4 linked regions of the Caenorhabditis elegans genome follow. The protein of the gene in region 3 purifies or fractionates together with the protein of the main gene of each other region. This does not show direct contact. Each region holds a gene or a part of one and is shown on either strand. Other genes may lie near its edges. The genes, in order: nog-1, chd-7, tag-191 and dkc-1.

Evidence for each region.
Region 1: the proteins of tag-191 (region 3) and nog-1 fractionate together in Caenorhabditis elegans (co-fractionation; one large-scale study listed by BioGRID). This does not show direct contact.
Region 2: the proteins of tag-191 (region 3) and chd-7 fractionate together in Caenorhabditis elegans (co-fractionation; one large-scale study listed by BioGRID). This does not show direct contact.
Region 4: the proteins of tag-191 (region 3) and dkc-1 fractionate together in Caenorhabditis elegans (co-fractionation; one large-scale study listed by BioGRID). This does not show direct contact.

The regions. Positions count from the first base shown.
Region 1 is NC_003282.8:392,042-400,547, reverse strand, and holds nog-1 (Nucleolar GTP-binding protein 1), read right to left. Parts: upstream 6,669-8,506; 5' UTR 6,610-6,668; intron 6,532-6,609; 5' UTR 6,494-6,531; coding exon 6,443-6,493; intron 6,402-6,442; coding exon 5,796-6,401; intron 5,745-5,795; coding exon 4,587-5,744; intron 4,531-4,586; coding exon 4,300-4,530; 3' UTR 4,128-4,299; intron 4,004-4,127; downstream 1-4,003. Other genes in the region: rrp-8 (Ribosomal RNA-processing protein 8), read right to left, coding at 1,628-1,835, 2,275-2,441, 2,495-2,626, 3,426-3,884, 3,938-4,003; T07A9.15 (Cytochrome c oxidase assembly protein COX14), read left to right, coding at 7,059-7,163, 7,216-7,314; uncp-18 (Syntaxin-binding protein 1), read right to left, coding at 7,510-7,652, 7,700-7,949, 7,992-8,242, 8,435-8,506. UniProt on the Caenorhabditis elegans protein: Involved in the biogenesis of the 60S ribosomal subunit. Has a role in regulating longevity, growth and brood size. May regulate fat storage via the insulin/IGF pathway.
Region 2 is NC_003279.8:4,693,964-4,702,226, forward strand, and holds the start of chd-7 (Chromodomain and Helicase Domain protein), read right to left. Parts: upstream 4,613-8,263; 5' UTR 4,472-4,612; coding exon 4,462-4,471; intron 3,925-4,461; coding exon 3,539-3,924; intron 3,227-3,538; coding exon 2,714-3,226; intron 2,089-2,713; coding exon 1,423-2,088; intron 1,376-1,422; coding exon 1-1,375.
Region 3 is NC_003283.11:14,531,697-14,539,650, forward strand, and holds tag-191 (Protein kinase domain-containing protein), read right to left. Parts: upstream 4,679-7,954; 5' UTR 4,614-4,678; coding exon 4,551-4,613; intron 4,504-4,550; coding exon 4,363-4,503; intron 3,817-4,362; coding exon 3,698-3,816; intron 3,651-3,697; coding exon 3,569-3,650; intron 3,526-3,568; coding exon 3,475-3,525; intron 3,429-3,474; coding exon 3,177-3,428; intron 3,127-3,176; coding exon 2,871-3,126; intron 2,827-2,870; coding exon 2,750-2,826; 3' UTR 2,709-2,749; downstream 1-2,708.
Region 4 is NC_003281.10:10,746,822-10,754,031, forward strand, and holds dkc-1 (Putative H/ACA ribonucleoprotein complex subunit 4), read left to right. Parts: upstream 1-1,607; 5' UTR 1,608-1,620; coding exon 1,621-1,668; intron 1,669-1,726; coding exon 1,727-1,813; intron 1,814-1,855; coding exon 1,856-2,334; intron 2,335-2,383; coding exon 2,384-3,107; 3' UTR 3,108-3,259; downstream 3,260-7,210. Other genes in the region: GTP-binding nuclear protein ran-1, read right to left, coding at 69-161, 209-397, 445-566, 614-739, 788-905; enu-3.6 (ENhancer of Uncoordination), read left to right, coding at 3,667-3,783, 3,945-4,505, 4,554-4,700, 4,749-4,883; Chromobox protein homolog hpl-2, read right to left, coding at 5,503-5,733, 6,139-6,210, 6,582-6,735. UniProt on the Caenorhabditis elegans protein: Plays a central role in ribosomal RNA processing. Probable catalytic subunit of H/ACA small nucleolar ribonucleoprotein (H/ACA snoRNP) complex, which catalyzes pseudouridylation of rRNA.

The sequences.
Region 1 (8,506 bases), on a different chromosome or scaffold from region 3:
AACTTTGAAAATTATTAGTATGTCAGGATATATTTGTAGAGGAAATACGGTAACCAAAAAGTACAAAAAAAATTTAAATTCTGAAATCTTGGTTCAATTAATTGATAATAAATCAAAATATTAAATTGAAATAGCTAACTTGGTAATTCTAGAAGTTTTGGCGCCAAAAAAAAAACAAACATCATTTGAATTGTGATGTGTCTCCGCGCAGAGACGCAGGCATTTGGACGGTGATTTTTTGGGACACTTTTGAATTGTTTCAATAATTAAAGGTGGAAGTAGCGTCTGTAGAGATTTTGCCTAAATACACTTATAAAGATCCAAAACGACCGAATATTAAAATAAAACACTCCAAAAACTTTGACCGGAAATGTTGAAAAATCTAAAAGTTTTGGCAAATTTACAAAATTTTGAAACATATGAGCTTTTGAGGAAATACAAAGCAATGTCGTATGTTTCGACTCCTACAATGTTTTAACACGAATAATTCAAACAAAATTGCAATATAAAAAATGTAGAATTTTTTCCGGCAAATCGGCAAACTGCCGGAATTGAAGTTTCCGGCAAATCGGCAAATTGCCGGAATTGAAGTTTCCGGCAAATCGGCAAATTGCCGGGATTGAAATTTCCGGCAAATTGACAAAGCGGCAGATTTCCGGAATTGAAATTTCCGGCAAATTGCCGGAATTGAAATTTCCGGCAAATCGACAAAGCGGCAAATCGCCGGAATTGAAAAATTTCGGCAAACCGATAAATTGCCGATTTGTCGGAAACCGGAAATTGCCGAAAATATGTACATTTTTTAAAAGTAATTTCAGAACTTCAATTTTAATCGGCAAAATTGTACGCATCCTATGAATGTTCCTACATCTATTTTGAAAAGTGTAGAAATTATATGAAATATCTAAAGAAAACATGAAAAATTTTTAAAAGGTACAGTTTAAGAGTTTCCGTCTTTAAACAATCGCTCTCAACGTTTCTGACAAATCTGATATCCGACAAACGGCAAATCAGCAATTTGCCGAAAACAAAAATTTCCGGCAAATCGGCAAACCGGCAATTTCTCGGAATTGGAAAATTTCCGGCAAATATTATCGAATTTGCCGAACGACAGTTGCCGCCCATTCCTGGCTTGCACCAAAATTGCTTAATATTTCAACATTTGTAGAACTTGGACTTTGAATTTTTGGAAAACAAAAATCGCAAAAAAAAATTCGGGGGTACTGTAGTTGTAAAATTTCGATCGTTTAGAGACCTACGTATCGAAAGTCGCAAAATTGGGTATCATAATATTAAAATCAAAGAAACTGACTACTTGCTTCTGAAAAAATCTATATCAGCCAATTTGTATTCACATTTTCTCGAGTCTCTGTCTTCTGTCAGATTGTAGTTATCCCATGATGACGGTGATTATATTTAGAGAATCTGAATTTTATGGTCGAAAATAGAATTATAAATTTACATTCATTTTTCAAAGATTTTTAGTTTTCGAAAAATCAGAACAGAATAGGCAGCAATTTCAAAATCAACAACAAAAACAATTGAAAACTGATGAAAAATCTTTGAAAACGGGAAACCGCATTTCCAATGATCATCGTTTTTAAAAAATCAACAAAAAATCAAAAAATCAGCGTTTCTTATACAAACAAGGCTTCAATTTGAGTCCGTATGGCCTTTTCTGCTCAACTTTCTCGACTTTCTTGAATTCCATCATCATGAAGTAATCGGTTAGCTCACGACGGTGTGATTGCTCGAATCCCATTTTTGTGATCGCCTCGCAAAATTGTTTGATTGACACGAAACGAGATGTGACTTCTGCGATTTTGAGAATTCCTCTGAAAAATTGATTTTTGCAAATAAATTTTCTGTTTTTCAAAAATTAGTTTGAAAATTTGGTTTTTTCTCTTCTTTACAGAAGAATTTTTATGTTTTTTCTCATCAATATAAGCAAAGTTTGGTAAAAATGGTATTTTATGACTATTTCTGAACATTTTTATTTGATTATTTGATTTTCCGGAAAATCGAAAAATGTTAGTTTCCTGAAAAACATCGAAAAAGTGAAAAATGCCACCCGTGACATCAACTTAATTCCTAGCCTCACCCAAGAATCCTGAGAACCTCACCCAAAAAACCACCGACAAAAATCGAATTTATGGTTGTATTTATTTATTTATTTTTCTGATTTTTCGATTTTCCCTGAAAAACACCGATAAATCGAAAAAGGCACTCTCGGTTACGGTGTCTGCTTATATTTAAATTGAAATGCTTGTTTACCCAATTTTAAGAACTCTTCGAGCTTCTCGAATAAAATCATAAAGATTTGTTCCCATCAGTGATAGGCAATAAATAACAATATCAGCTGATGAATCTTCAGCTGGAAGTTTCGACATATCGCACGACTCAACACGATCATTCACTGCAACCAAATCGAATGAGCGAATCTATTAAAAAACATGAGAAATGTAATGTGATTTTTCCAGGGAATTATATGAACCTTATGCTTTTCTCCAACGGCTTCTGCAATTTTAGCCTCTCCACAACCCAAATCGAATACTGATTGTTGATCCGGTTTGGATTGAAGCCAGCGGATAATCTCGCGGAGTGGGTGATTTGGCCATTTTTTTACCTGAAAATTTGAGAGTTCACAACTGACAAGACAAAGTTTTCTCGCTCATTTTAGGGGTTGAGAGTATAGCTTTCCCGTTTAAAATTTTGCATTAAAGGTGGAGTAGCGCCAGTGGGGAAATTGCTTTAAAACATGCCTATGGGGCCACAATGACCGAATATCATGATAAAAAAATTCAAAAAAATTTCTAACTTTTATATGATTTTTTGAAAATTGAAAAATCTGTTTTTGCCTAATTCCTATTTGAATTACCGCCAATTGGATTTGTTCGATGGAGCGCGCTTGCACGTTTTTAAATTTATTTATTTTATTTTTTGTTATTTTTCACCGATTTTTAATGTTTTCGGTGTATTCTTTTCGGTGTATGCTCGAACTTTAGAGAAAAGCGTGCTTTTTAATCGAAAATTTTCATTTATTTTGACTTTTTCTCTAAAACTCGAGCAAAAATACACCGAAAACATTAAAAATCGGTGGAAAACAACAAAAAACAAAATAAATAAATTTAAAAACGTGCAAGCGCGCTTCATCGAACAAATCCACTTGGCGGTAATTCAAATAGGAATTAGGCAAAAACTGAGATTTTTTCAATTTTCAAAAAATCATATAAAATTTAGAAAAAATTTTTGAATTTTTTTATCATGATATTCGGTCATTGTGGTACCATATGTTTGCATGTTTTAAAGCAATTTCCCCACTGGCGCTACTCCACCTTTAACATATACTCTTGGAACACCTTCAAATGGCACATATATCATTTTAAAGGCTTCGTTGTGAAACTGAGATACCAATTAATGTTTACCTGATCAGCAAATCCCTTGTGATATAGATCAAAAGCCGTCGGATCCTCCTTGAAGAAATCAAATGCTTCAGAACCAGTACATGTATAGAGTTTTTCGTTCAGAAATCTGAATCGTCCCGCGTCAAGTCTCTTTTTAGCCTCTGCAATTGGATCTGCTTCTTCTGGAGCTGCTGCCACGTCATCATTTTCAGTTTCAGCAGCTTTTCCAGCAACTTCGGGCTTGAACTTCTTCTTTTTTGGGCCCCGTTTTCTCTTCTTTTTCGTATTTTCATCCGAAGAACTCTTTGGTTCGAGAATCAGCGGAGGTTCTTCTGGATTTTCAGATTTCTTGTCAGCTGCTGCCTTTTTTGCGGCAAGTTTACGGACCTTATTACGCCATGGACGTTTCTTTTTCTTTTCAGCGTCAGATTGTGAACTTGTTGGTTTTTCCGTAGATTTCTTTAACCAATTTTCTACTTTCTGCAATTAATTTGTGTTTGAGAACTACGTTTCTTTGAAAATGTGATATTAACCTCTCGTTTCTCAGCTGGCACGTGTTGAGCATCCTTTTCATCCGTAATCTTTCTTTTTTTGCCCATCTGAAGAGTTAATTAAAAAATAGTTTTTCTAATACAGCGAAAAATTCAACGGAATGCTAAAAAATGTGCAATATCGAAGAAAAAAAATAATTCAGAATCTACAAAAATATCAGGAAGAATTTTATTCGGGAAACTCATGTGGGCGAGAAGCCGATTGACGCAGTGAGAAGAAGGTAAAAATGGATGGATGGGTATACAGTTTTTGGAAGGAATAAAAAGCAGGGAGACGAAAAAAAACGAACAGAATAACAAAACAAAAATAACAAAAAAAAAATGAACAAAAGATATATATGTTCTTAACGCCAATCGGTTTTTCCGTTTCCACGTTTTCCACAGAACAAATGCTTTGGCTTGAGGTCGTATACGTGACGATCGGCTTCTCCCTTCTTGGCTTCTCGGCGCAATCCACGCATTGCTTTCGTACGCAACTTGTCGACATGTGCACGTTTTTCCTCGTCTGGGAATGCCAACTCATCACGTGGAGCCGGACGGACGGCGCTGAGACTGCGCGAGCGACCCACTTTCATCTGGAAAAATTATGTTAATTTGAAACCGAAATTATAGATTTCGGTTCTACACAAACCTTCTTTCCAAGTTGTGGTTTGGCACATTGTCCTTGCAAGTTCTTCATTTTCTTCGTGTCAACATCTACACCTAACTCTCCGAGCTCATTCTCTAATCTAGACATTGATCGATCTCTCTTTCTTGAACCATGAATACGTGAACCAATTCTTCCGGCAATTCTCTTGTTAACGGCATGATCCAAAGTCAACAGTTTTTCTTTTTCTCGGATTTGCAATGCAAGCTTCAACTTCTCCTTGGTCTCCTCATCATCACTATCCAAATCTGATTCATACTCTCCGGCTTGCTCCAAGAGCTCCTCTTCGCGAAGCAGATTCTCAAGCTTTGACTGGATTTCCGGGTCAACAAAGTCAGCAAGATTGTGTCCTTCCCAGATTTCGGGAACAATATCGTACTTCTCATCAGGATTCTTCAGCATATAATGTTTCTTAAGATCCAGAATATAATCATCTTGCATTTCCAACTCAATTTCTCTCTCCAAACGACGGGTGTTCTCATCACGAAGATCTCCAAGATCGGTGGATTGGGATCCACCCTTTGCAATCTTTTCCTTTCCAATTTTGCCTGGTTTTTGTGGAATTTTTGCTGCGAACTCATCTCCATCAGTCTCCATGAGCTCTTGAGCTTCTTGCAATTTCTTCTGAGCTCTTTTTGCGGCCAAACCTGGTGGAACAAATGGAGCACGAACTTTCTCGTCACGTGGAGCCGGGTAGGCGACGAATACGCGATTCAGCACACAATCCTCGACATTTGTGATCTTCTTGGCTTGAATTTTAGCTTCAACACGCTGGGCCAAAAGTTCATCGCAAGCACGATCTCTGAGTCCCATAACTCCTTCTTGTGTAAGTGTAGATGTCTCAATAATTGGAATTCCTTCCTTCTCCAGTTGATCCAACAATGCAGCTTTCTCTGGTGGCAAATCAGATCGATGTCTGATGTCAACCTTGTTCAAACCAATAAGAACTGGTTTATTGGCGAACAATGGACGGATCGATTCGAAGAGATGAAGTTGTTCCTCAATACTACGATCACATTGTTCTGAAACATCCATCATGAAGAGCACTGATGCTTTCAGATGAGCCAATGCGGTAACTGCTTGCATTTCAATGGTGTTACGGTCCTCAAGTGGCTGATCCAAGATTCCGGGGGTATCGATAACCTGAAAAGTGAATTATTATCAAGGTTCAAAAGAAATTCGCTTAATACTTACCTGCCATCTGAGGAAACGATAGTCAAGATGTCCAACATAAAGAGCCTTTGTAGTGAAAGCATATGGCTGAACTTCAACATCAGCACGTGTCACATTGTTGATGAATGAAGACTTTCCGACATTTGGGAATCCGCAAAGAATGAGAGTACGAGTAGCTGGATCGATACTTGGAAGGCGAGACAAATGCTGACGGACCTGCTCGAGGTATTCAAAGCTGGACTTTTGTCGCTTTAGCAGCTTGACCATACGTCCAAGTGCGGCTCTTTTGAGCATTTTGCAACGATAAAGCGAGTCGGCGTACTTCATCAAACGAACGTATTCACGGGCGATTCCGTCAATCAAATGACGAGCTGTGTTCATTTGTCCAAGAGCGATTTTGTAGTGATCACGGTCGTAGAGAATGTTCATAAGATCCGAGTAGAATGGATGAATTTCCTCCATTTTCGGGAACTCTGTGATGATTTGCGTGAGCTTGTCATGCAGAGTTTGCTGTAGGAACTTGATTTTTCTTGCGTAAAAAGCACGGATTCTTCCAATCGAATATTGGCGATGCACGACGGTTGGTGTTTTGCGTTGCGTTTTTGAGAGAACCACATCTTTCAGTTCCTGAAAAATATAACTTCTCAATGATCAGAACAAGAACAAACCTGTGCATTGGGAACACATGTAATTCGCTTGAAATTATACATCGACGTCATTTTGAGCAATGACGACTGTGTGTAACCCTTGTTTGATTCTGAAATATGTTGTAAAGTTTTGAAAATGACAAGTGAAAGGTTAGGGATTAAGAAATACATTGAACAAAACAAGATACCCCGTGTCAGAAGGACCCCTCTCCGGAGATTGAAATTCCTTACAATTCCATATGAACGTCTGAAATTGTTAACACAGATGATAAAAGAATAACGCTACAAAAACTGTGCAAATTTGTTTAAAATTAACTCTAGGCCTAAACTGGAAGAAACGCCAATTTCTGCAACATTAATCTCGCCGATAAGTTAATGTGACCGTATAAATAAGTTTTTAATTTAGAATTATCAGAATATACGAATTAAAATCACAAATAAATATTAAAACATTCGAAAATTGACGAAAATTTGATGGAGAAAATAAGTCGTATGACCCTAAAGTGTGCAATTGCGCGTGAAAGTGTATGAGCCTGCTAGTCTGCAAACACCGTTGCATACCGTACCCGAGTAAATTCTTAACGATTCTACATTTTTGACGCAACCTCGATTCCCTTCTCTCATAATATCCGTAAAAATGAGAATTCCATCTAAAATTCGAGCTCATGCTTACGCTTCTGGACTTTTCTTGCTTGTGACAACTGGTGCGTATTGTGCCTATACCGGTGCTATGGAAATTCGGGTGAGCTAAAAAAAAATCAATTTTGTCTCAAGATAAATTTCTATTGTTTTAGAAATGGTCAATGTCAGCTCCACGACTTCAACATCAGGAAATGGAAGATTATTTGAGGTTTAAAGAAAATCAGGCGCGCGGAAAAATTGTTCGGCAATAGAAAAGGCAATTTAAATAGATTTTACAACTTCCACGTAACGAGACTTAATAATTTACGAATGAAGGTTTTTGTTTTCATAGAAACTGTGGTTTATTTGAGATAAATAGAAAATGGCATCATATACATGGAAAAACGAGATTTTTTTGTGAATATTATTTAAACAAAGCGATATTCGGGGACATTAATACAGTATTTTCAGCAATTTACAGTATTTCGATCTCGTAACGACTCCAGGAAAGACGACGGCGTTAGAATTTCGTCTGATCCCAGGATTACTGTTGTGTTCGTCTTTTTCGACAACTCGTAGGCGACTCTCATTTCAGAATATGTGATTCCGCCTGAAAATGCTTTCCAATCAGAATATATCAACGAAACATCACCTCACCTACGACAAAAATGATAATTTTTCGTTTTTCGCGTGGTTTTCCAGCCAATCCACTTCCATATCTCGCACTTGCTGCCGGCCGGAAGTCAGACGTCGATTTCTTACCAGCTACTTTGAACTCCCGCTCGTCCAATCGTCTTTCGTAAATTTCTTCGATAAGATTTTTGATTTTCGGATCCCAACGACTCGCGATAAACCTCTCGTCTTCTGGTGGTGGTCGGCGATGTTGGAATTGAGATTTCTGAGTTTTCTGAAAAAAGAAGATGAATACAATTTTAAAAAAGACTCTGACATCTCTCCAAATGAGCATTCTCTTAATAATCTGAAATTCCGATTCAGGAATATCGGTGTGATGTAGAAGTCGATTGAAGTATTGTTCATCTTTATCCTTTCCGATAGTCAACATAAAAATGAGAATCAATCGAAGACGAGTTTCAGTCGGAATTGCTGGTAAAATAAACGTGGAAAGTCGTCCAACTGCTTGAGAATCCGTGATACGTACGTGTTCCGGCGTATGCTCAACGGCCATATCTTGCTCCAAAGCTGAAATGATGACAGTGAATTCTCGTTTAAATGTTTATTATAAATACGCGAGATTATGTGATTTTTGCGCCGCTACAATTGTTTGCTAAGTTCAAAAGGATGCGCTCCTTTTGTTGCTTTGGAGTTTTCATCAATATTCAAAAGTTTTTCCCACAATCTACTGAAATTAAAATTATTTATAAAATTATTTACCAATAATTTTTTCTAAAGAATCAAAATATTTGGATCGACATTCTTCCGTCAAACTAATATACGCTGCCATTT
Region 2 (8,263 bases), on a different chromosome or scaffold from region 3:
CCATTGCATTTGGATCCGGAGCTGGAGTATCGATTTTCATGAGAAACTCGTCATCTTCATCATCACTTTTTGCTCCTTCTACACCTGCTTCATCAGTGGGATCAGCCTTCTTTTTACCACCTCCACCCTTCTTCTTTCCTCGTCCACGTTGTGGATAGAAATCATCATCATCAGAATCGTCAACACTCTTCTTCTTTCGTGACTTTGCAACTACTACAGCAGGCCTTCGATATGACTTTTTCTTTGATGATGTTGCGCCCATCAACGGAGTAGCTGGAGTTGAAGGTTCGGTGAATCCGTCATTCGTCTCACTTGGAGCTTCACTCATATCTTTTGTGATCGTTGATGTGTCATCATCTTCTTCTTCCTTGATGTCGTCTTTTGATGATTTTGCAGAGGATGCTTCATCATCGTCTTCATCCTGAACTTCTTCTTCTTCGCCAAAAGTCTCTTCAACTCCTGCAAAGTTCTCAATATCGTCAGCTTTCACTGGAGTAGATTGGTCAACTGGTGAACTATCATCCATTGGCTCCGGCTCTTCGACGGGCTCTTCAGCGGGCTCTTCGGCGGGCTCTTCAATTGTTCCAACAGATGGGATAGGATATTCCTCAGTATCTGCTGGTTCTTGTTGAGCTTCAACTTCCACGGGCTCGGGATCTACTGACACTTGTGGCTCTTCTTTCTCAATGTTTTCGTAATCATTCTGCTCAACTTGATCCAAAGGAGTTCCATTACTATAACCCGCTTCAGCACCTTCTTCATTCTTTACAAAATTATCAATTCCTGTATCATCTTCTAATAGATTCGAAGTTGATTGTTGATCCTCTTTAAATTCCACTTCATCTTTCAGTTCTTCAACTGGAATCGTTTCTTGAGAATACTCATACTTTGGTTCATCCTCTTCTATTATTGGTTCTTCTTTCGGAACGTCCTCTAGAATTTCCTGTTGATCACTAATTGCCTGAAGTTCTTGATCGTTTTGAGAAGACTGTGGCATTATCGGATCAGATACAGATGGAGATGGTATGGCTTCAGGAGCAACAGTAGGCTCTTGATATCCTGACGACGATGGAAAATCAGGAAACTCCGGGTAGGCGTTCTGCTGTTGAGATGATGTCGATGGAGTAGAAGTTGCCGGAATTTGGGCTTGACTCGGTGGTGCTGATTGATCCACTGATTGTGATGGTTCCATTGAAGCCGGCGCCGTACTAACACCGATACCGTATCCGGATGGGTGCTGCTGCTGTTGTTGGTTGGGTTGGGTTTGATGTTGGGATGGATGTTGCTGAGGATGATGTTGCATTGGGACCGAAGCAGGCTGTTGATGCTGGTGAGGATGTTGAGGTTGTTGCTGCTGTTGAGGATATCCAGACATCTGAAATATTCAAAAATTTAAGAATTAATTAGGAATTACAAGCTTACGTTCTGCTGATGTTGAGCATGCTGCTGCTGCTGCTGTTGATACTGTGCATACATCGGATGCTGCTGTTGTTGCTGAGCATACGGATTTCCAGAACCATTCTCCATTCCATTATACTGTTGCTGATACGGCGATGGTTTCTCTGGTTCCATCTTAACCTGTGGAGCATTTGGAACCGGTGATTCTTGCATAGACGGAGTTGGCTCAGGCGGCACAATAGATTCCTTGCTTTCAGTGGAGCTGGCTCCAGATCCCGCACCTCCGTAACCATCGTGGTAGACAGATATCAGTGTCCTCGTCTTATCAGCGGTTATATGAACTTGACTTCCAGGTTGATTCACATGAACTGGCACTGAGTTCGGATTCGATGGAATTTGATTCGATTGGGAAGACGTTGGTGGTGGTGGTCCTTGATGATGTCCGCCAGCAGATGCAGCTGCTGCGGCCGCCGCTGCAGCAGCAGCAGCTTGTTGTTGTTGTTGCTGCTGTTGCCACTGCACGTGTTGAAGCTGTTGGCTGTACCGATAATGATCACTTTGGAACTGAGCAAGTTTATGTTGCAGCTGTTGAACTTCTGCGTCAGCCGACGCACTTCGTTGCATATTGTAGAGTTGTTGAATTCGTGCCTTGCATTCTGCAGATGATTTTTCCACTTGAGCAATGACGTTCTGAAAAATAAGTGATTTAGTTTAGTTTTTATTTTTAAAATTTGAACCACAAACACATATTACGGGAACCCGAAATTCTGAGAATGCGTAATGCGCAACATATTTGACGCGCAGAATATCTCGTAGCGAAAACTACAGTAATTGTGTAAATGACTACTGTAGCTCTTATATCGATTTATGGGCTCGACTTTCGAAACGAGTATTCTATCGAGTAGCTACATACCATTTTCCTTCGCTTTTTCGTATTTTCTCATTTTTTGCTAATTTAAAAAATCGAGCCCTGTAAATCTACAGTATTCATTTAAATAATCACTGTAGTTTTCGCTACGAGATATTTTGCACATCAATTCAAAAAGACGAAAAATCCATTAAAATTTGAAATTCAAATATATTTTGAATGTTTGAAAAACATCGAATTTTGTTGGTTTTAGGCAATAATATTTTGACCGTATTGTAGGAAATTTCTTGCAAAATAGTCTAAAGAATTATACGTGAAACCTACAAAATTCAATTTTTCTCAAGTATCAAGATGAATTTGAATTTGTTTTTCAGAAGAGGCTTTATTTTGACTTTTCATTGTTTGTGTTTGCAATTTCTCGCATTTTCATTCCTACTACCAACTCACCATCAAATCATTGGTTCCAACTCTTCCCCATTGTTCCTGTTGTGCCATTTGCATTGATTGAGGCGCCGTCACAGGTCCACCTCCTTGCTGTTGCTGCTGTTGTGAAGGTGGTGGTCCACCGTAACCCTGATAACCATCCCAATATCCTGGTGGTGCCTGTTGTTGACTGTGTGGTGGATATTGATGCCTCATCTGTGGAGGAGGTCCCGCTTGTGGAGCATACGGTGATTGTTGGGAGGGTGGTGGTGGATATCCAGTGGATGCCTGTGGTGCATAACCATATGGACCATATCCGGGTGGCCCTTGGGCTTGTTGTTGGCCGGCTTGTTGTTGTTGAGCTCGTTGTTGATGGTACATTTGTTGATAGTTCTGAGGTGCTTGTGGCGGTGGTGGATATTGTCCTTGCGGTGGTGGTCCATTTGTTACGGGTCCTGGCCGGTACCCTTGTTGTGATGGACCATTGGATGATGGATAGTGTGGTGGTGGAACGCCGCCGTACATCGCCATTTGGTTCTGAAAATACTTTGAGAGGAGTCAGTGATATTCTTTAGATATTTAAATAAAATATTCATAATTTTAAAGGTCGAGTAGAGTCGTTTTGGGATTTTGTTTCAATTTGAAACTTTCAAATAATGGAAAATAGTCTGAAATGATCGAATATTTATATTTAAATAATTTAAATTTTAAAATTTTCGAGACAATTTAAAAAATTTTAACTTTTTAATATGTAGTCTATTATTTAAAACAAAATCCCAAAACTGCTCTTTTCTATCAATAAAGTTTTTAGGCAGTTTATTTCCAAGATTTTCCAAATAAACTACTTACCGGATATCCACCCTGTCTCATCATTGGATTATTCGACATTGCCGCCATCGACGCCATCGGATCCATCTGTGCAGCTGCTGCCGCCGCTGCAGCCGCCGCCGCTTCTGCCTGAGCCTTTTTTGATTTTCCACGTGCCTTTTTTGCAGGTGGTGGCTGAGCTGGCTGTGGTGGTACTTGTTGTGGTGGTGGAGCCATGTGCTGCATTTGATGTTGTTGCTGCATCATCATCATTTGATGATGCTGTTGTTGTTGTTCATATGGATTCATCGGTTGACCTGGATACCGTTGAGGAACGCCCTGCTGAGATTGTTGAGATTGTTGTGGTGGCGGGCCGCCCATCATTGTGTAATCTGCCATTTGGGACATTTGTGGAACGTAGTCGTCGCCTGCAAAAATTTTGAATAATTCCCAAAACTAGAATTCGATATTTTTTTTATTAAAATGATGATTAATTTTTCTTATGCAACAAAAAATGTAATATTACCTAGACTCTAAATTGTATGATCTTAAAAAAGGTATGCGCCTTCAAAGAGTACTGTAGTTGCAAACTCTCGTTGCTGCGGAATTTTCCTCGATTTTCAGTTTTTCTCACGATTTGTTAAAATTTATGTGATTTATTTTGGTTTTTTAGTAAATATATCAACTTTTAACGAGAAACTTTGAAGAATTCGTAGAAACGAAATTTTTGAGTTACAGTAATCTTTAAAGGCACATACACGTTTGTACTTAATAAAAAAAAAGTCGTGTCGAGACCCTAAACAGTAAAAATCGTTACATAAATGTTTCGATTGTAAAAATGCTAGAAATAGTTGCAAGACCCTTTGCACCTCTAAAGTGAATTACATTTTTCAAGAATCTACAATACTATAAAAAATTTCGAACTTAAATAAATTCAATTTTCAAATGTTTCCAAAAAGACTCACCTTCATCCATTTTGTGTGTTTGGTTATGTGGTTATAATGAGATTAACTTGTACAAAAAGAAAGCGAAAATATATAATTTAAAAAATCCAATTCTTCACAATGCGTCAGCTGTTTCTTTTTGAATTTGTATATTAATTCAGCAGCCTATCATCTGAAAATTAAAATAAATTAATAAATTTGAAATGTTGAGGACCGATTATTTCACTATTGATAGGAAAAAACAAAAGAAAAAAGAAAGATGGTAGTTCGAGATATAAAAGAAAAATATTATTTGATTTTTAGAAATTTAGCAGCACTTGGTCTCGACACGACTATTTTTTTAGATAAATACAAAAATATGTGCGCCTTTAAAGAGTATTGTAGTTTCAAAAACATAATTTAAATACATTTTTCATAGTTTTTCTTATGATTTCTTAAAAATGTTTGGGTTGTAATAAATACATGTTTATCGAAAAGAAAAAGAAATATCGATAAAAATTCCGATATTGAAGTTACAGTACTCTTTAAAGGAGCATTTTTCCAAAGAAAAATTGTCGTGTCGAGACCGGGTACCGTATTTTTGAAATGCGCTTCGTTGCGAACAAAAAATATTGAACTTTTGAATCGGGCTACAAGGTTTTCAGAATAAATAATATATTATGGAATCGAATGGAGACATAAATGGAAGGAAGTATCTAGAACCAAAAGACGCGAATTTTTTTTGCAAAAAAGATGTTATCGTCAACAGTCATCATCAACCAAAAAAGGCCAGAAAAAACCCAAAGAAAGGAAGTTTTTTTGTTCTTCAAAAAAAAACGAATCTTCGTTTTCAATTTGATGGTGAGTGTATGTGTGTGTGTAGTGCGTATGCAATGGCAATGAGAAAAAAAAACGGGGGGACGAATGAGTAGAGTGAGAGTTCATGGGAATAGTATTATAGTATACGAGATGCAGACATGGCAAGACGAAAAGGAATAAGAAGAAGAAGAACACAAGAAACGGACACACAGACCAGGACACTTCTCTCGACTCTCTTACTCTCTCCTTCTCACACATTGCCCACTGTCTAATGTCTCTCTCCGAGCTTGAGCACTCTCTCATCATCTCTTGCTGTTTGGTCGTCTCTTCTTCTCTCTCAACTCTTCTAATCGATTCTAGCACACACACAGAGAAAGAGGGTTAGATGTAGAAAGTAGAGGTGCTATGTGTGTGGGGTGGACCCCCTCTTGGTCGCTGCTGGGACATTTGTGTCCCCTTCCCGGTATGTTGTTGATGATGATGATGATGAGGATGGAGGACGCCGGACGGATCGAGTCGAGGAGGAGATGGAGGACGGCGGTGGTGGTGGTGGTTGACCAAGATGAAATTGAAGATGATGATGAAGGTTTTGGTTTTTGGAGATGAGTAGAAGGAGAAAAACGAGGATAAGTGTTTTTTTTCACATACAATTCATTCTTTTATCGAAGAAACGAAGCGAACAAGTGATTAACTGCGTCTCGATTAACCAGACTGACCATTCTAAAGATGAAACCATGGTTACTGTAAGCCCTACTGTCAAGTTTTTGTTCTGGAAAATTTTTTTTTTCGAAAATAAATATAGTTTTAAACAAATTCAGTAACTGGAATATCTAAATACAATAGACTTTCAAAATCAGGAAAACGGAAGAAAAAGAAACAGAAGATTTCGTGCTGAGACCTAACATTTGGGCATTCACAATAATTGATGTATTTTCATTTTAAAAAATTCATTTCCCCCTCAAACATTTTTTTACAAATTTGTTGAACCCAAAAACTCTTAAAAACTACTAAATATCTTTCAAATTATCGAGAAAACTTTCGATCAATCTTGAAGCAAAAACAGATAAAACCAACATAAACTGCAGACCTGATAATGAGAAAACCCAATTGGCCAGCCACATGACATCAAACAACAGATGAATTCTACGTCACAAACTTTCATATTCATCAGTAGACGAAAAATGAATCAGTTCATTTAGCTCTAGATATTTATTTGATCAGCGGACTCGACTCGCTAGCTAAAATGAAACATCGCAGTAGTACAGATTTTCAGAATTTTTTTTTCCGAATTCTACGGAAGTAATGGAAAACATAGGAACTTCCTAATCACACAAGATGATACAACGCCAAAGTTGGCATTTTGCCAAGTTGGCCAGTAGAGACTCTGTGCGAGAGAAAAAGAGAGAACGTTGGCAATTTGCCAAGCTGTTCAAATGGACGGAAAGGACGCGCCGACGACATTGGCCCCCAGAAAATGGTGAAGCCGTCGAGACAGGGACCGATTTATTTACTCTTACGAAGTACCGCATATTTTAATCAGGAAATTCCAGTCAAAAGAAAAGTAGCGGAAAATTTGAAATTTTAAGGGCGGAAGATATTGTCTAGAACCTGGTTTTAGGCTCTCCAATTACGGTTTGATCTACAGAAAAATCGGAATTTTTAATTCAGAAAAATGTGATGTCATCTAAATTCCCACAATTCTGGTAGATCAAACCGAAAGGGAGAACTCTGACACTACTGGTCAAGTACATTTCAGTTCGGCATATGGAATTCTCCATATACAGATCCCCTGAACATGAGTTTGATAAATAATAATGATATCAGAAAAAAAGTCGTTATCCAAATCCGAAAATCCCACAAAATACCAATAGGAAAAATATGATTTAAAAAAGAAAAAAGGAAGAAGCATGTGCAACTTGGTTTTTGCTGTGTTGTCTATCGGTGAGTGTTATTGGCCAACAACCCTTTCCCCTCTCTACACCACAAAAACGCGCACAATCTCTTTCTGTCCGTCTCTCTACTCTCCAATAGTCTATCATCTGCTCTTCTCAATTTCACCTGTTCTCTGATCATGTTCTGACCACTACTCTGCGTCGTCGTCTCTTCCACCTCCTCCTTCCTTCCATTTCTACTAACCAATACTACTATTACGAGAGAGAGAGAGAGAGGGAGAGAGAGAGCGTGCTGCTGCTGCTGATGCTTGCCTTGCGCAGACCTCTTTTTCTGTGTGAGCGGTGGAGTGTGCGCAAAGAAGGAACTCATAAAACACTCACACGTTGTTCCCCCCGTTTGGTCCTCCCAATTCAACCACCCAGAGGTGCGCCCCCAGACGTTTTGGTTATGAGCGGCCAAAGGTGTGTATGTGTGTGTGTTTGAGAGTGAGCGCAGTGTGAGCGTCGTCTGTGTGTGTTCTGTTTAAATGAGAAAAAGAGCGGTTTTTGCTTTTCACCGCCGATTGGTACCCCCCTAAATGAATGATAGTGACATAGTGAGAAAGAGAGAGAGCATCATCACTGATAAGAAATGATAAGACAATTCCACTTTCTGACCATTAGTTCATCGTTATTGTCTAAGTGTAAAGTTTCGATTGAATTTTGACAATTTATGGTCTAAATAAGAAATAGTATTTTCTTTCTTGAAGAGTAAAAATATTACGCAACCGTAAAGTGTAGAAAGTTGAAGAGACCCAGACATATTGAAACCCAGGGGGCGTGGCGCGGGAAGAGCAGAAGTTGTGTAGATTTACGGAGCGTTATTGACGTAGATCTACATAAGTTCGACTCTTCCCTCTGGGTCCCGATATGTCTGCGTCTCTTCAACTTTTTACGCTCTGCTGCTGAGTAATAGTAAAGTCCTACCCACATGCTAAAAATTTTCAGAAGCTGCTGAATATTCTGGTGAACATTTCAGATTTAAAGATTTTTTTTAAAACTAGAGCTAAAAAAATTTTAGAGACGCGAAACCCAATTATATCTAAGTGACTGAATCTAGAAATCTTCTCTGGAAAGAAAGAAAATATTATAAA
Region 3 (7,954 bases):
CAGCTCATATCCTCAATCAGATTACATCTATACAATAACAGTAGATGTTTAAAAAGGATTTAGAAAATAAATCTCTAAACATCGGGAGTTTGAACACCTAGAATTATCAAAATAATGACACATTTGTTTCAACCATTTATTACTATTGTAAACAGATAAGATAAACCAACTCCCGAGCCGAAGAACTTTTTGAACTGTTCAGTTCTAGTTTTTGAATGAAAGTAATTTTCGATTAGTTTTAATCATGTTTATCTTGAGACTAATTAGTATGGACTCAACATCCTAAAATGACAAAAAATCGGATAACTAGTAAGTTTGATTTTTACGTTCCGGGAATTTTTTGCAGTATGTCTAGCAAATTCATCAGGTATAATTTTCATAGTTTGCTATAGACTTTATAAAATATATTAGAACTTGAATAAAATTGACTTTAAAAGTTGATAAAATTTGAAAGCATAAAAAAGTTTACGTATTCAAAACTCTTTACTCAAATGTGGCCCAGGCTCACTGGTATGAATAATACACGAAAAAAATCCATCGGGAATTAATTTCAAAGTATTTTTTGTTTTTATCAGACTTGACTGCGGTCAAACTACTGTAACAACCGTATTCTATACTTTTCTCTTTAAGTTGTTATATTTTTTTGTTAAAATTTTTCAAACCTATCAGTCAACCTACATATACATAAATCTGAAGTAAAGGCATTAAAAACCAGTATCACGCAACAAAAAATTCCAAAAATACCTTTTTTCTCCCACTAACTTCCTCTTTTCAAATCCTCTTCTTCCTCCCTTACATCACTTTTTCATAAAAGGCACCTGATCTGTTTGGAAATTGAAAATCCAGCTCAACCCGGTTGAGTCGTTTTCATCCAGCTGCAAATGTCTGGTGTCTCTTCATCTCTCACGCTATTTTCATATTCGTCTGTTCCTAACACACTCACACACACACAACTTGATATCAATGATTATATATCCGCAAAAAAGGAGAAAGACAGGCGACTCGAGCGCTTTTTGCTCACGCACACACACCTCTCTCTATCAATTTTTAGTTCCATTCTCTTTCAGTTCCATTTAATCGAAATAATCTTTACTTCCTCCCCCAATTGCTTTTCCAATTCTTTTTCCCTTATAAGACATCGGATCACACAGATTCTTGTGTGTCATTATTTGTCCAGTTGGAATTGAAATCTAGTAGAGCCCGGTGGGAACCTCCTGATGAGAAGTCTATTGTCCTCCTGTCGTCAATGAGAAGCACTTCGAAGAAGAAAAAGAAGAAAAAGTGACAGAAGAATATGGAATTGCAAGAGATTGAAGAAGAAGAAGGTATGTTTAGAAATGATTTTATTTCCGTTTGAGACCTTTCAAACGAGATTTTTCATAGTTGCATCTTCCTTTGAGTTGAACTGAACTTTTATGCTTCTATCTTGTTTTTGAACTCCGCATTAAAAAAAAAACTACCTTCAAAAATTACCTTGCAAACGCATATCTCGGTGTTCTTTTTAACCAAAAAAAAAATCAACTAACAATAAAAACATATTTTATCTCTATTTTTACAGATTTACATAAGTGGCATTAATAGGAAACTATCGTAAAATAATATAATATCGCAGAAAATCACAATTAGTAACACTAAACTTTTTTAGATCTCTCTAAATGTTCAGTCTATGTTTTGGTAAATTGCCAAATTTTCACAAAAAAACTTTAGTATTTTGTGATATTCTGGAAATGGGGCTTTTGCGAGCTCCTACAATTTTCAAATGGAAATAATGAAAGCACTATTAAAACATAAAATTTGCAGACCTTTTTTTGTTCCTCTAATAGTAAGTCTATTTCCAAATTTAAAAAAAATTATTTTAATTGCAAAAGATAACTATATCACAGAGTTGTTTTTAAAGCGTTAAGCATAACTATTTGTATGGCTTCAAAAGCTTGATCAAAGTCCTCGAGAGCAACTAAATATGACGTTATTCTTCACATTTTTTACTGGAAAAGTTTCTTTGAGCCAAGGTATCTAGTCAGGCCCTAGTACCTACTTGCCGCCTATTCGCCTGCGAATTTTGTAGGCTAGCAAGTAACTTGGCAGTACGCATCAATGAAGCAGGCCGTCTTGAAAGCAAGATCGAAAATAAAAGAAAATAAAGTAGGCAAAAGAGAAAGGCGAAGGCGTTTTTTACATTCTCCATTCATTCACTAAAAAATATTTCACCTACGTATTTCTTTTCCAATTTCTATTTTGTTCTCAATCTTTCTAGATTTTTTCCCGAATAACACCTGCAACAAAAAGTGCAGATTGAAAGAGTTGGCTCTTTTTCTTTTTCAGGTGTGCAACATCAAAAGCGAAAAGAGTCATTCCATTTTTCTTGCACTCATTCTCACCCACTTTCTCTTTTTCTTTCAACTTTTAATCCGTTTTTGGTTCCAGTTCACTCTTCTTCAGTTCAGTTCAGTTCAGACTTCTTCTCCTACAAAAATATGTGTTTATTCAATTCATCGAAAAATGGACCTACTGGTTTTGAATCGATGATTGAGAATTAAAGAGAAAACAAAGAATAATGACGTTCTGGGGAAAGTCTATGATGATTTTATAGGAAATTGTGAGAACGGTAAATTCTTGTCCTCTACCTCCCCTCTTCCCTCTTCTTCCGAAAATATTAATATCTTAATGCAAAACTTGTTTTTTTTTAAATTATTGTAACTCAAAAAAAACTGTTAAACATCTAAAAATTTATTCATAAGATCTTGAAGTTCTAGAATCCGAGCGGGTTTGTGTTGAAGTCATCGACGGTGAAAAAATCAACTTCCTCATTTGATGGTGGTGTGACGCCTGAAAACTGTTACAACTATAAGAATTAAAAAACAATATGTTACCTTTTCTGGGGACATTTCCAACTGCTGGAACACTTGGCTTCTTCTTTCTCTTTTCGGGCTCCCAATGATATGGGTCGGACCACTTGTACTTCGCGCTTTTCATGGCATCATTCAAGAGATTGAAAAGCTTTTCGTAGTCGGGGCGGTGATAGAATTGCGTGGCCCGAACGATCTTGACAAACTCCAGCATTTGAATTGGGCTTTTTGCAAAGAGATTCTGGTCGGCGACGTGTCGCTTCATTTCCCCGATTTCGACCTGGAAAACTTTTTAGTGACATTGAAGTGAGAGAGCATCGCGTTTCGAACCTTATCATCCAAATCAGACCAAGCCAGCTGGCATCTCAACTCCGCGAGCATGTAGATCAAAGCCCACAGGTCATCGACTCTCCCCTGCTCGAAACGATCGTGCATAGCTACCGAGCAATAACGGGAGGTGCCACGGAAGAGAGCCTTCTCACGTGGGCGACGCATCTTTTTTCCGTCCTCCTTATCCGTGATGTACTGGCGTGCCAAGCCAAAGTCCAGCACGATGAAGTAGCGTTCGTCAGGGGAGCCTTTCTAAAAACAGAGAATAAAGTTGTGGAAGTTTAGAGTAGGAGCTTACATTTCCCAATGCCACGTTGGCAGGCTTCAAGTCACGGTGGATAAACCCAATCTGAAAGTTAAATTGATATTCAGCCTCCACTGCTTCCACCTACATCATGAATCTGCTTGATGCCGAACAAAAGGCAAATCCCGATGCGCATTTGGGTAGACACGTTGAAAAATGGTCCGTGTTTCCTGAAATTCAGCAATTATTTTTCGATTTAATTTGAATTTTCTCTCACTTCATAAGTGATTCAAGGCTTTCGCCGAGAAGGGTCATCACCACGTACGAGTATCGATCCTTTTTTCCGCTTGCCATGCATTTTGCCACGTGGTTCTTAGACACAAGATGGGTGAGGATCTGGAACCACTACGTTAAAATCAAATAGGCAGTATATACTTAATAATGATAAGATAATGACATGATAAGATGTCAATTTTAGAGTCACTGACACCTAAAGGGTCAGATAAAAGCATCCTGAAACATTGCACTACTCCCAGCCTGTCAGAAGCTACTGGGAAAGCTACAGACGCCATTACGGCAGAGAAAACCTGCCGGAATATAGTATATTTTAATACTGATCCCAGCAGCCGACACTTCACGGCTCCTCATCAGCATGTCTCAACCAATATGTGTACGACTGCCTCATTATGGATCTTACAAGCAGCAGACACATCACGGATTTTAGCATTCTTCACAGCCAAGCGCACTATTGATTTTCTCTTGGGAAACGAATAGCCGACACTTCAAGGGTTTTCGCAATACTGTCCAATGCGGCAGTTATAAAGAGTTGAAAGTAAGCGACAGACACCTCACGGGGCAGAGACTATTTCCGGTAACCTTGCCATTTGAAAGCTCCCGACATCTCACAGCTGCTTCAAACCAGAAACTTCTTCGTCTACTAACCTGAACCTCCATTTTCAAAACATTTCCAGCGTTGGCATTCGAGTTGAACTCGACTTTCATCGCGTACTGCTTTGTCTTGTCTTCGATGTCCTCCACCTTGTACACAGATCCACAGCCGCCTTGACCCAGCTGTTGGATAACCTGAAAAACCGATAAATTTGCTTGCCACGAGGTAAAGTTTAACTTACTCGGTACTTTTTCCCAACAACCACTCCAATTTTCAATGTTTCGTCGCACACATCGTCTGGCATCTTGCTTGAATTGAAAAATATTTTTCGAGAAACTGCCGAAAATTTCACTTTTTCCGCCGTAAAGTGGAGGAAGAGCGAGTAATGATTAATAAATTTTGTGAAGCTACGAGAAACACAAAAAAAACAACTTTCGAAAAACGTCGGCTACGTGTGTTCAAAGCTAGGCAACGTGTGTTCAAGTGTAAAAAAATTTCACTTTAAATTTCGAAATTTGAAAATTAAATATTTCGACTTTTTTAAAAACCATGGCATGGGTTTCAGCAGTAACAAGCACGTCTCAAGTAATATTGCCTGTCTGCCTGCATACCTACCTATTTCGTCAGGTTTCTGTGAACAACCTTAAACGTAGGCACGGGAGGTGTTGCCTGCTCCTGTGAAACCAAAAATTAGACTTCACCTCGAGCCTGTCAATTGTCGGCCGCTAGGCATTTTTGAAGTCAAATAATTTTGAAAACTTTCAAAATCAACAAAAAATGTATCAGTAGACATACATGGGTGAACAAAAAAGTAAAATTGATAAGAACATCTGTAAATTGGGAACTGGTATTTTTATAATATGATAAGCATTTTTCTTTACAGAATGCTATTCACTGGTCTCTGAAAAAAATGTTTAAGTTAGGGCACTCGCATTAGGTAGGCACTTTAGGCTTAGGCACCTGCTTTCTTGTTTGCCTACCTTCTGTTTATGCATACTGATAGATCCCACTTCCCAAAGTTGCTCAAGTAGCTCAAGTTAAAGCTGCGAAATTCGAAGAATAAACTGACAGGTCTAGGTTTTTCTGTTAATTCGCCCGAATGTTTTTCCAACACAATTTCTGATATCTTTGACTAAATCTAAACTACTCTCATGCCCTCTAGTTGTTTGGGACTCAAGAATTCCCATTTCTCGAAATCAATTCAACTTTTTTCGTGGAAAATAACTAAAACTCGAACATGTGGAGGAGAGTTCTTAGAGTCGTAAACTTATTCCCTCATCTCTCCTACCACTTCTTTTCCATCCTACTTACATTTTTATAACCTACTTATTTTACTCTACATATGTAAGAAATAAGAACAAAAAAGCAACAGCAGAAATTGGTGCACCCAGAGAATACATTTAAATTGTCTAGAGATCTAGAGTGCCTCTTCTGAATATCCACTAGGTCCGTGTAATTATCTTCACTCTCTCACTCTCTGTATGTGCTTCTTCTGTGTTCTTTAATTTTAAATAATGCAAAGACCCCAGGGAATTGATCAAATTACTTTATAATTTAGTTGTATGATTATAAATCTTTTTTTTTTAATCAATAAAACTTTTTAAAATGGTCAAAAATTAGAAAAATTGTTGGCTCATTTGCACTGGTCTAAAAAAGGCCAAAAATTCGAATTTTATAATGTGAAATCTAACTTTCAACTGGAAATCTAGTATTGAACATTTTTTCAATTTTTGAAATTAAAATTTTAACTTTTCAAAAATATTTGTGCGTTTCCATTCTTGCTATAATTTTTAAACTTTTTTTCCCCAGTATTTTGCAAATTCTACAAAAAACTTTTCTACAGTCAAAAAAAATTATTACACGTTTTTCTTCATTGACACCTTTTCCCTCCAACCACACTCAATCATTAATATCTTCCGTAATGTTTTAATCATGAATACTCCGGAAAAACCTTGTCGCCCCAGCCGAAGACATGCTCGTGTGCAGCACCAAACAGAAAAAAAAACCAGAATTTTCGTCCAGTGGCGAGAAAAAATAAGAAATTGGAGCAGTTTTCGTGGGAGATTTTCTCTTGTGCTCTTCAGTCTTTCTTTATTCCAGCGAACAACATAGAAGCTTAATAGGAGGATTTATCTGATTATTACATTTTTTGGATTATTTTTCATTTTTTATGATATTTGTACAAGCAGAACAATATAAATATTGATTAGTATTTTTAATGGAGTTGCAACTCCTAAAAACGATTTTTTTACTTTTAGCTGTGTGTTAGTGTTTTGCTTTTTTTTTTGCAAAACTCACTTAACTGATAACTACTTTTTTGTATTAATAATTCAAGTATATTTGAAAATTCCTAAAACAAGCGCAGCCCATATCACGGTCTTGGTTTCGCAATGGTTTTACATAAACAATTTTTTGTGATTACCAACTTTTGCTTTACTGACATGTCTGGAAATAGCATACGATGACAAAATTTAGATAACTTTTAACTGGATGTTTCCCGGAACGAATAAAATTCGTGTTTCTTTTTCCTAAAATTTTAACTTGAAAGTGAAAGTGCCAGAACCTAGAAAAGCATTTATATTTTCAAAAACCCCTAGTTAAAATGCCCTATGGTCTAGTGAACGTATAAAAAAATAAAATTCTATCGCTCTACTCAAATTTCACACGAAATCCTCCGTCTGTTGACCCCACTTCCATCATCATTTATCCATCATCTTCTTACATTTTTCATCGTGGACTTTTTTTTTTGCCAAACGTCACTTTTTTTGGAAAATTCTATTTGGTTTTTATACTTTTAGTATTTACCTTTTTTTCACTTTTTTTTTGGTTTAGACTAGAATTTTGTTCGGTGAATTAGAGAGGACCACTTGAGAATCGTGAGAGAATTGAATTCGGTTTTCAGATTATATAGAGCTTGGTTTCCTAATTTAGCTAGTATTTTTTCAAATAATTCTGGTTTTCAAAACTTAAAAGAAATATATATCAGAAAAGAAAGAAATAGCTTAACTTTAACAAATAAATTTATAGTTTCATACATGACCAACTATTATAATTAAAAACTGTAACAATTTTTAGAGTTTTCAAAATTTTCAGTTTTCCAGCTTTGGTTCGAAAAAAATAGAAATTTTGGAATTTTTTAGAAATGTTTCAAGCTTTAACCTTTGTTAATACAAACAAGTAAAACATAATTCGTATATGAAATTTCAGCTAATTTTCTTTGGTAAAAAATCAAAATTTTCTAGAAATTGTTTCCTGTGATTTTTGCACATCTGGGCACTATAAGAACAAACTTATTTATTTGATTCTAGAGAAAATAATTTTTGAAAAAAAATCATTTTAGTTCGAAAAAAAAAGTGTTATCAATGAGTATGATTCCCATTTTATACACTTTTTCCCAGTAATTTTTTAAATGTCAATTATTCATTCCTATTTCCTCATAAACCTATGATAATCCCCACAAACTTCTTTTCAATTACATTCTATTTTCTTCCGAATAGCATGTTTGCTCACTGTTAATTTTATCAAACAGTCAACACAATTCGTAAAACACATAGCACGTGATATTTACGATCAAAAGGAAGAGTCTAGTTCTAATGTTAGAGGTAGCAAGAGTCTTGCAAGATACTAGCGAATGAGGAATGCGAA
Region 4 (7,210 bases), on a different chromosome or scaffold from region 3:
AAAATGGTAAATTTAGGTGGGATGGTTTTGTGAGATTTGAAAACAAGGATTTTGAAAGGTTAAAGTGTTTAAAGATCATCGTCGTCATCTGGAAGATCAGCCTTGGCGGCGTTGTCCAGATCCTTTTCGTATTCGGCAATCATGGCTGGGTCCATTTGAACCTGGAAATTAAAATATTGCTTATGAAAGAACATGGATTTAAAAATACCTCTGGAGGAGCCAAAGCTGGCATTGCGACAAACTCGAGGTTTGGATCTCCGAGCAGCTTTCTGGCGAGCCAGAGGAATGGCTTTTCGAAGTTATAGTTCGACTTTGCGGAGATGTCGTAGTATTGGAGGTTCTTCTTTCGGTGGAAGGTGATGGTCTTGGCCTTCACTTTACGGTCCTTGACGTCGACCTGAAATTTGTAATTGAATATATTGGCCAGTTTCAGCTAGTGATTACCTTATTTCCGCAGAGAACAATTGGAATGTTTTCACATACTCTGGCCAAATCGCGATGCCAGTTCGGGACATTCTTGTAGGTGACACGAGCGGTAACATCGAACATGATAATGGCGCATTGTCCTGGAAATTGGGCATTTCAGAAGTTATAATTTCGAATTTTAACATACCTTGGATGTAGTATCCGTCACGAAGACCACCAAATTTCTCCTGTCCGGCGGTGTCCCAAACGTTGAAACGAATTTGTCCGCGATTGGTGTGGAAGACAAGTGGGTGAACTTCGACTCCGAGAGTGGCTGAAAACAATTATTGAACTGGGAGAAACAAATTCCTGAATTACTTACCAACATACTTCTTCTCGAACTCTCCAGTCAAGTGACGTTTAACGAAGGTAGTCTTTCCGGTTCCTCCATCTCCGACAAGGACAAGCTTGAAAGTTGGGATGCCGTCTCCACCAGACATGACTGAAATGAGGAGATGAGGAGAATAAAATACGAAGGAAAAAGATTGTCAAGAGGAAAATAGCACGAAACTTTTCGAAAATGCGAATTATTGCGAAATTCTACGTATTACCGAAGCTTCAGTTGAAAATCACGAAGCGGTGGATAAATATTTCAAAAACAAGAATGTTCGGATAATGTGTATTTAGAATTGAGCAAAAAAGTTTTAGAAGAGACGTGAAGCTGAGCAGAGAGATTATCTCGTGATCAGAGCTTGCTCATGGAGCAAAATCAGAGAGAACTCGAAAATTACAGTGAACCAACTGAGGAAACAACGCAAATGCATCAAAATGAATGAAAAAACCGAAAAAAGATGACAAAACTTGGCGCCAGGGACAAGAAAAGTATTCGAAAATGGCGCAACAAGCCAGATTTGCGCGCCAAAATGAACAAAATTCGAAAATGTTTTTGCGTAGAACCCCGTGTGTGTTGAGGCATAGGGGCACACACGCAGCCTGTGTCTCTTTCGTCTGGCACACTGCCAATGGGGGTTTCTTCTCTCGTTTTTCAAAAAATCGATAGTTTTCTGGCAGGTTTTCTGCTTCTTGACACTTTCCACGAGCTTATGAGGCATATTTGGAGTTCATTAGAACCTTATTAATCTTTAAACTCTTGTTAATCGCTTCAGAACTGTTGGATTTTGTCAATAATGTTATTTTTTCAGCGAAGATCTCATCATGGGCAAGAAGGATAAGCGTTCCAAGCTTGAGGGAGACGATCTAGCTGTTAGTTTTTAATTTTCAAGCCATTTATTAAATATTGAGTACATTTTCATTATTTCAGGAGGCTCAACAGAAGGGATCATTCCAACTTCCATCCTCGAACGAAACCGCCAAGCTCGATGCTTCCCAGTGGCCACTTTTGCTCAAGGTAGTTGAGTGATCTCATTTAAAAATTAAATTATTATTTCAGAATTACGACAAATTGAATGTGCGCACCAATCACTACACACCACACGTCGAGGGAGTATCACCATTAAAGCGTGACATCAAGAACTACATTTCGTCTGGATTCTTCAATCTTGACAAACCATCGAACCCATCTTCTCACGAAGTCGTGTCCTGGATCAAGAGAATTCTTCGTTGCGAGAAGACCGGACACAGTGGAACACTCGATCCAAAAGTATCGGGATGTCTGATCGTTTGTATCGACCGTACCACTCGTTTGGCCAAGTCGCAGCAAGGAGCTGGAAAGGAATACATCTGCATCTTCAAGCTCCACGAGGAAGTTGAGGATGATCGCAAGGTGAAGCAAGCCCTCGAGAAGCTCACCGGAGCCCTCTTCCAACGCCCACCACTGATCTCAGCTGTCAAGCGTCAGCTTCGTATTCGTACCGTTTACGAGAACAAGTTCATCGAGTATGATCCAGCTCAACAGATGGGAATTTTCAAGTAAGAATCCTTATAATAAATCTAATTTCTAGTTTTCATTTAATTTCAGCTGCATCTGCGAGTCGGGAACCTACGTTCGTACAATTTGTGTGCATCTCGGTCTCATCCTCGGATGCGGAGGTCAAATGCAAGAGCTTCGCAGAAACAGATCCGGAATCTGCGATGAAAACGAGAATATGGTCACAATGCACGACGTTCTCGATGCTCAGTATCTCCTAGACACCCAGAAAGACGAGAGCTACATGAGACACATCGTTCGTCCACTTGAGGCTCTTCTCACCCAGCACAAGAGAGTTGTTGTCAAGGACAGTTGCATCAACGCGATCTGCTACGGAGCCAAGATCCTTATTCCCGGAATTCTTCGTTACGACGATGACATCGAGGTTGGCAAGGAGATCGTCATCATGTCGACGAAGGGAGAAGCCATCTGCATCGCTATTGCTCAGATGAACACATCAACGATCGCTTCAGTCGATCACGGAGTCGTTGCCAAGTCGAAGCGTGTCATTATGGAGCGTGATGTGTACGGAAGAAAGTGGGGACTTGGACCGGTTGCATCCAAGAAGAAGCAAATGGTCAAGGACGGACTTCTAGACAAATTCGGAAAACCAAATGACACTACTCCAAAATCGTGGGCCAAGGAGTACGTTCAAACTTCGACGAAGAAAGAAGTCAAGAAAGAGGAGACGCCAGACGAGGAAGAGGAGGAGGCACCGAAGAAGAAATCCAAAAAGTCCAAGAAGCAAGAGTCGAGTGATAGTGATAGCGATTAAGCTCATTTTTATGTTTTTTCTTTTTTAAATTACCTCTGTTGACTATTTACTTGTTGTTCAAAAATCTTTTTGTTGTTATTCATTCTAAACATCGTTTTCCTTGTTGTACCAATTTTGTTGAACATTTGAACTTTATATAAATCGGATTTTCGAAAGAAAAAACGTGTAGAGATCAAATAACATAATTTAGGAGTTTCCAGGCAGTGTCGACAACGATCGGACGTCGAAAAAATTATTTTTTTTTCTTTAAAAAGAACATTTAGATTTTTAAATGAGGAAAACCATTCTTTTAGCAAAGAAAACAATTCATTCGAAAAATAAATTGACGTGGCCGACGTGAATTTACGAGGCCCCACCAAAACAGGATGCAGGGGGGGACCTATTCGCAACCACCGCACACGTTTTTTCTTTTGAAAAAATGCAACAATATCATGGAAAAAACGTGCGAGGCTTGCGAAAAAAGTGTGCGGTGGTTGCGAAATAGGCCCCGAAATAAACAAATTATAACTTAAATTAGTTTGTGAAGTCGGTTTCTCTCCGACACACGCGTCACATAAAAATGTGTATTTGGCGTATTTTGTCTTCATTGGCAAAGCGAGAAGAACAAGACGATCAGCAGCACAAGGATGAGGAGAAGGAACGCCGGCGGTTGGCTTATGGAATTGCCGCGAATCCGGTACGTTTTATTATCGATTTTTTTGCAACGTGGCCTAGAAAAAGCGAGAGCTCGGCCAAGATATTTGAAGGTGGCCGAGTTTTCGCATTTCGCGGCCACGACGTAAAAACGGAATTATTAGCATTGAAAGAGCATTGAAAAAACGCAGTTTTAAATTTCAGTATGTGGTAGAAGAGATCAAGACTCCCAATGGAAACGTCACAAAAGTGATGGAGAAACGACGATCCGCGGTGGCCCCGCCCATCACACCAGCCCTCGGAGCAGGCTCGACCAACGGACCATACGAGAGTCGGACCAAGACCGCTCAAAAGGAAGAAGCAATGAGCTGTCACTTGCAAGTGATCGCCGACAATTGGGGACGTGGAAAGGAGCTCATTTCGCTCATCAATGATTTGGATCTCCCTGCGCCGCTGGTGACGACAGAGGAAAAGGCGCGGTACGCTTTGGAGCTCGTGCAACATCATGTGGAGAAAATGACCGAGCAGAAGGTTTTCCTGCACGGATATCTTGATGATGGACCGCCGTTCGTTTGCTCATCGGAGACCTTGGCGAAGGAGATCTTCAGCGATGCCCGTCTTGAGCTGAAGCTTGAATTGACGTCACCGGTGCACATGAAGATGGACGTGTTCTCTGTGAAATTGGAGCCACAACAGAAGACAGTGCTGCCAGAACCCACCAAGGAAACGCCGAAAACCGACGCTCTCCTCACACCGGGATCTCATGTAAGTTTAAAGGCACACGCTGGGTCTCACAACGATTTTTGTTTTCAGATTAAGGGAAGATCAATGGCGGCTGAATCGTCGAAGCGCAAAGCCCCGAAGCTGCCCACTGATTTGACGAACTTGGTCCCACTGCTCCAACAAGCTCAGATGCTTCCAGTCACCGAAAAGGCCACCAAGGAGAAGCTCCAGACTCCGGTTAGCTTAAATCTCATGATGTTTTTATCTAAAATTTCAAATTTTCAGAAGCAATCGCCAATGCCAGGCACCCCGGAAAATACGTCGCTCCCACCGTCCTTGATTAAGAAGAAGAAGAAGGAGTCGACATCGAAACAAGCAGCGCTGGAAGCGTTCGTCACTGTGGACAAGCCACACGATTGAAGTTCTTCTGAGCCCCCGACCGCCTCTCGTGATTTTCCCCCGTTTTTAGGTCCTTCATTTTTTTTATGGAGCCCCATTTCCCCTTTTCTATGCTCATCGTTCCCCACAATTGTATTATTTATGACCTCGTATAGTCCCATTCTTTTTTCAAACTCCCCGTCCGTATTTATTTCCCCACACAATTTCACTTCTATTACTTTTCTCTGACAATAAATTTTTTTTTGTCAAATTTTGTTTCTCTTTCGACATCAAGGAACTTTCAGTTTAATGATTTAGTGGGTTACTGTAGCTCTTAAAGGCGCACTCATTTTTTACGGGCGAAATTCAGGTGTTTCTAGGAAGTCTGTTTGCCATCATATTTTATCAGATTTTTTTGGCCGAAAAATTTGTTAGTCGATGCACCATGAGTTTTGTTCTCGATGTTCTTCATTTTTGTGGGATTTTCTGCAAATGCAGAAAATTTGTCGATGCACCATGAGCTTCTCAGTGTTTCTAACATATTTTTTATATATATTTCTAAAGAGATTTTTGTTGTACTATCCATTATATAAAGATAATGTTCAAACTTTATATAAATCGGATTTTCGAAAAAAAAAAGAAACAGCGGAGATCAAATAATTTATGAGTTTCTTGGGAACAAGAGACTGTCATCATCGTCTGGTACAGTGTCGACAACGATCGGACACGGTGGCGGGCTATTCGAATTGTCATCGAAAACGGAGAGGATGGCCGCCTCGTGAACTTCTCCATCGCCAGAGTCTTCAAGGAAATCTTGTGGGAAGCTGGAAAGCAGATCTCCATTGGCCGCCATGTGCATATCATTGAGCATATCGGCCGCGGTTTGCTGAAACTGAAGAATGGTTTAAGGAAGCACGTGGAGTCATACAGTCCCTTTTCGCTTTGATCTACGAAAAATGCGGGAGAAGAGACGCAGACATCTTATCTGATTTTGCATGGTTAAGAGCGTTCTGACGTCACATTTTTTCTGGGAAACAATTCCCGCATTTTTTGTAGATCAAACTGCAATGAGACTTTCTGACACCACATGAGGAAGGCTATTTTTTTGGCGAAAAAATCCCGAAATTTACAATTTCTGACATTTTTTTATTTACTAGAGATCGATTTTTAAACGAATTTCAGGAATCTCTTTTACAAATCTATGTTTTCCTTTTTCTTTGAAAAATCGATACATAGTGTTCTGTAGTTCTTAAAGGCGCGGCCTCAAAAAATATTTCGTTCGTGGTAAGACCCCTACCGCTTCAGTCATCTCAACGTCCTGCGATATTTTCGATTCCTTCCTACGTTGCAGCTCGTGTTCTTCGGTTGTCTGGAATTAAAATAAAAATTTTGAAAAAAATTTCAAAAATTGTTTTTTATTCTAAAATTAAAAATACATAATTTTGTTCCAAAAAAAGTTTCTAAACTACTTTTTCCTTAAGAAGAATACCTAAAAGAATTCAAAATTCGCAAAAAATTAGTTTTTTCTCAAAGATTTAAAAACAGTATAGTTTTAAAAAAATTTCTCAAAAAAAATGTTTTCCCAAAAAAAAATTTTTTTTAATTAAAAAAAACATTTTTCGAGAGGTGTTCAAATTTTGGACCTTGTGTAGAGACTGTTTTTTGGAAACATTTCAGAGAAAACTTTTTTTTTTCATTTTTCTCAAAATTTTCTCCTTCTAAAACTTCAAATTTTCTCACAAGAATTCGATGTCCCGGTGGCATTTCAGGCCACTCATCATCTGCATCATCTTCCTCAATCGAACGCTTCTTCTTTCCCTCGGAAATCCGTTTGTGTCGTCTCTCCATCTTTTTCTTCAGAAATTCGCCGTAAGCGTCGACGAACGGGCGGTATCTGTATGGAAAATAGAATGTCGAATGTAATGTGTCTCAAGAAATTTTTATTGATTCAATAATATTTAGTCTCGATTTCAGGGGTTAGCACAAAAATTGGTATAGATTTTACAAGATAATTCAAAAAGAATATGGGAATGAGATGAGAGAACATGATATTGAACACGTGTATCGGGGTGGGGAGTGATTAAAGCTCGTCGGCTTTTGGGTCTTGGATTGTTAGCTTGGATTCGTAGTATCTGATAACTTGGCTCGGATAGCTGAAATTTAGAGCTTTTTTAAATGCCAAATTGAGGTTCGCTTCCTAGCTAAAAACTCTAGCGCCGATCGGGATTTCAGTTTTAAATACGCAGAATAGTCAGAAAAATTTTGAATGTTTGAATTACCGCGCCATGGTTTTTATCAATTTAAACGCAATTGTTCCGTTTTTCCTCGAATTTCTTAGTGAAAAAGTCCAATTTTTCATATTTTTCGTG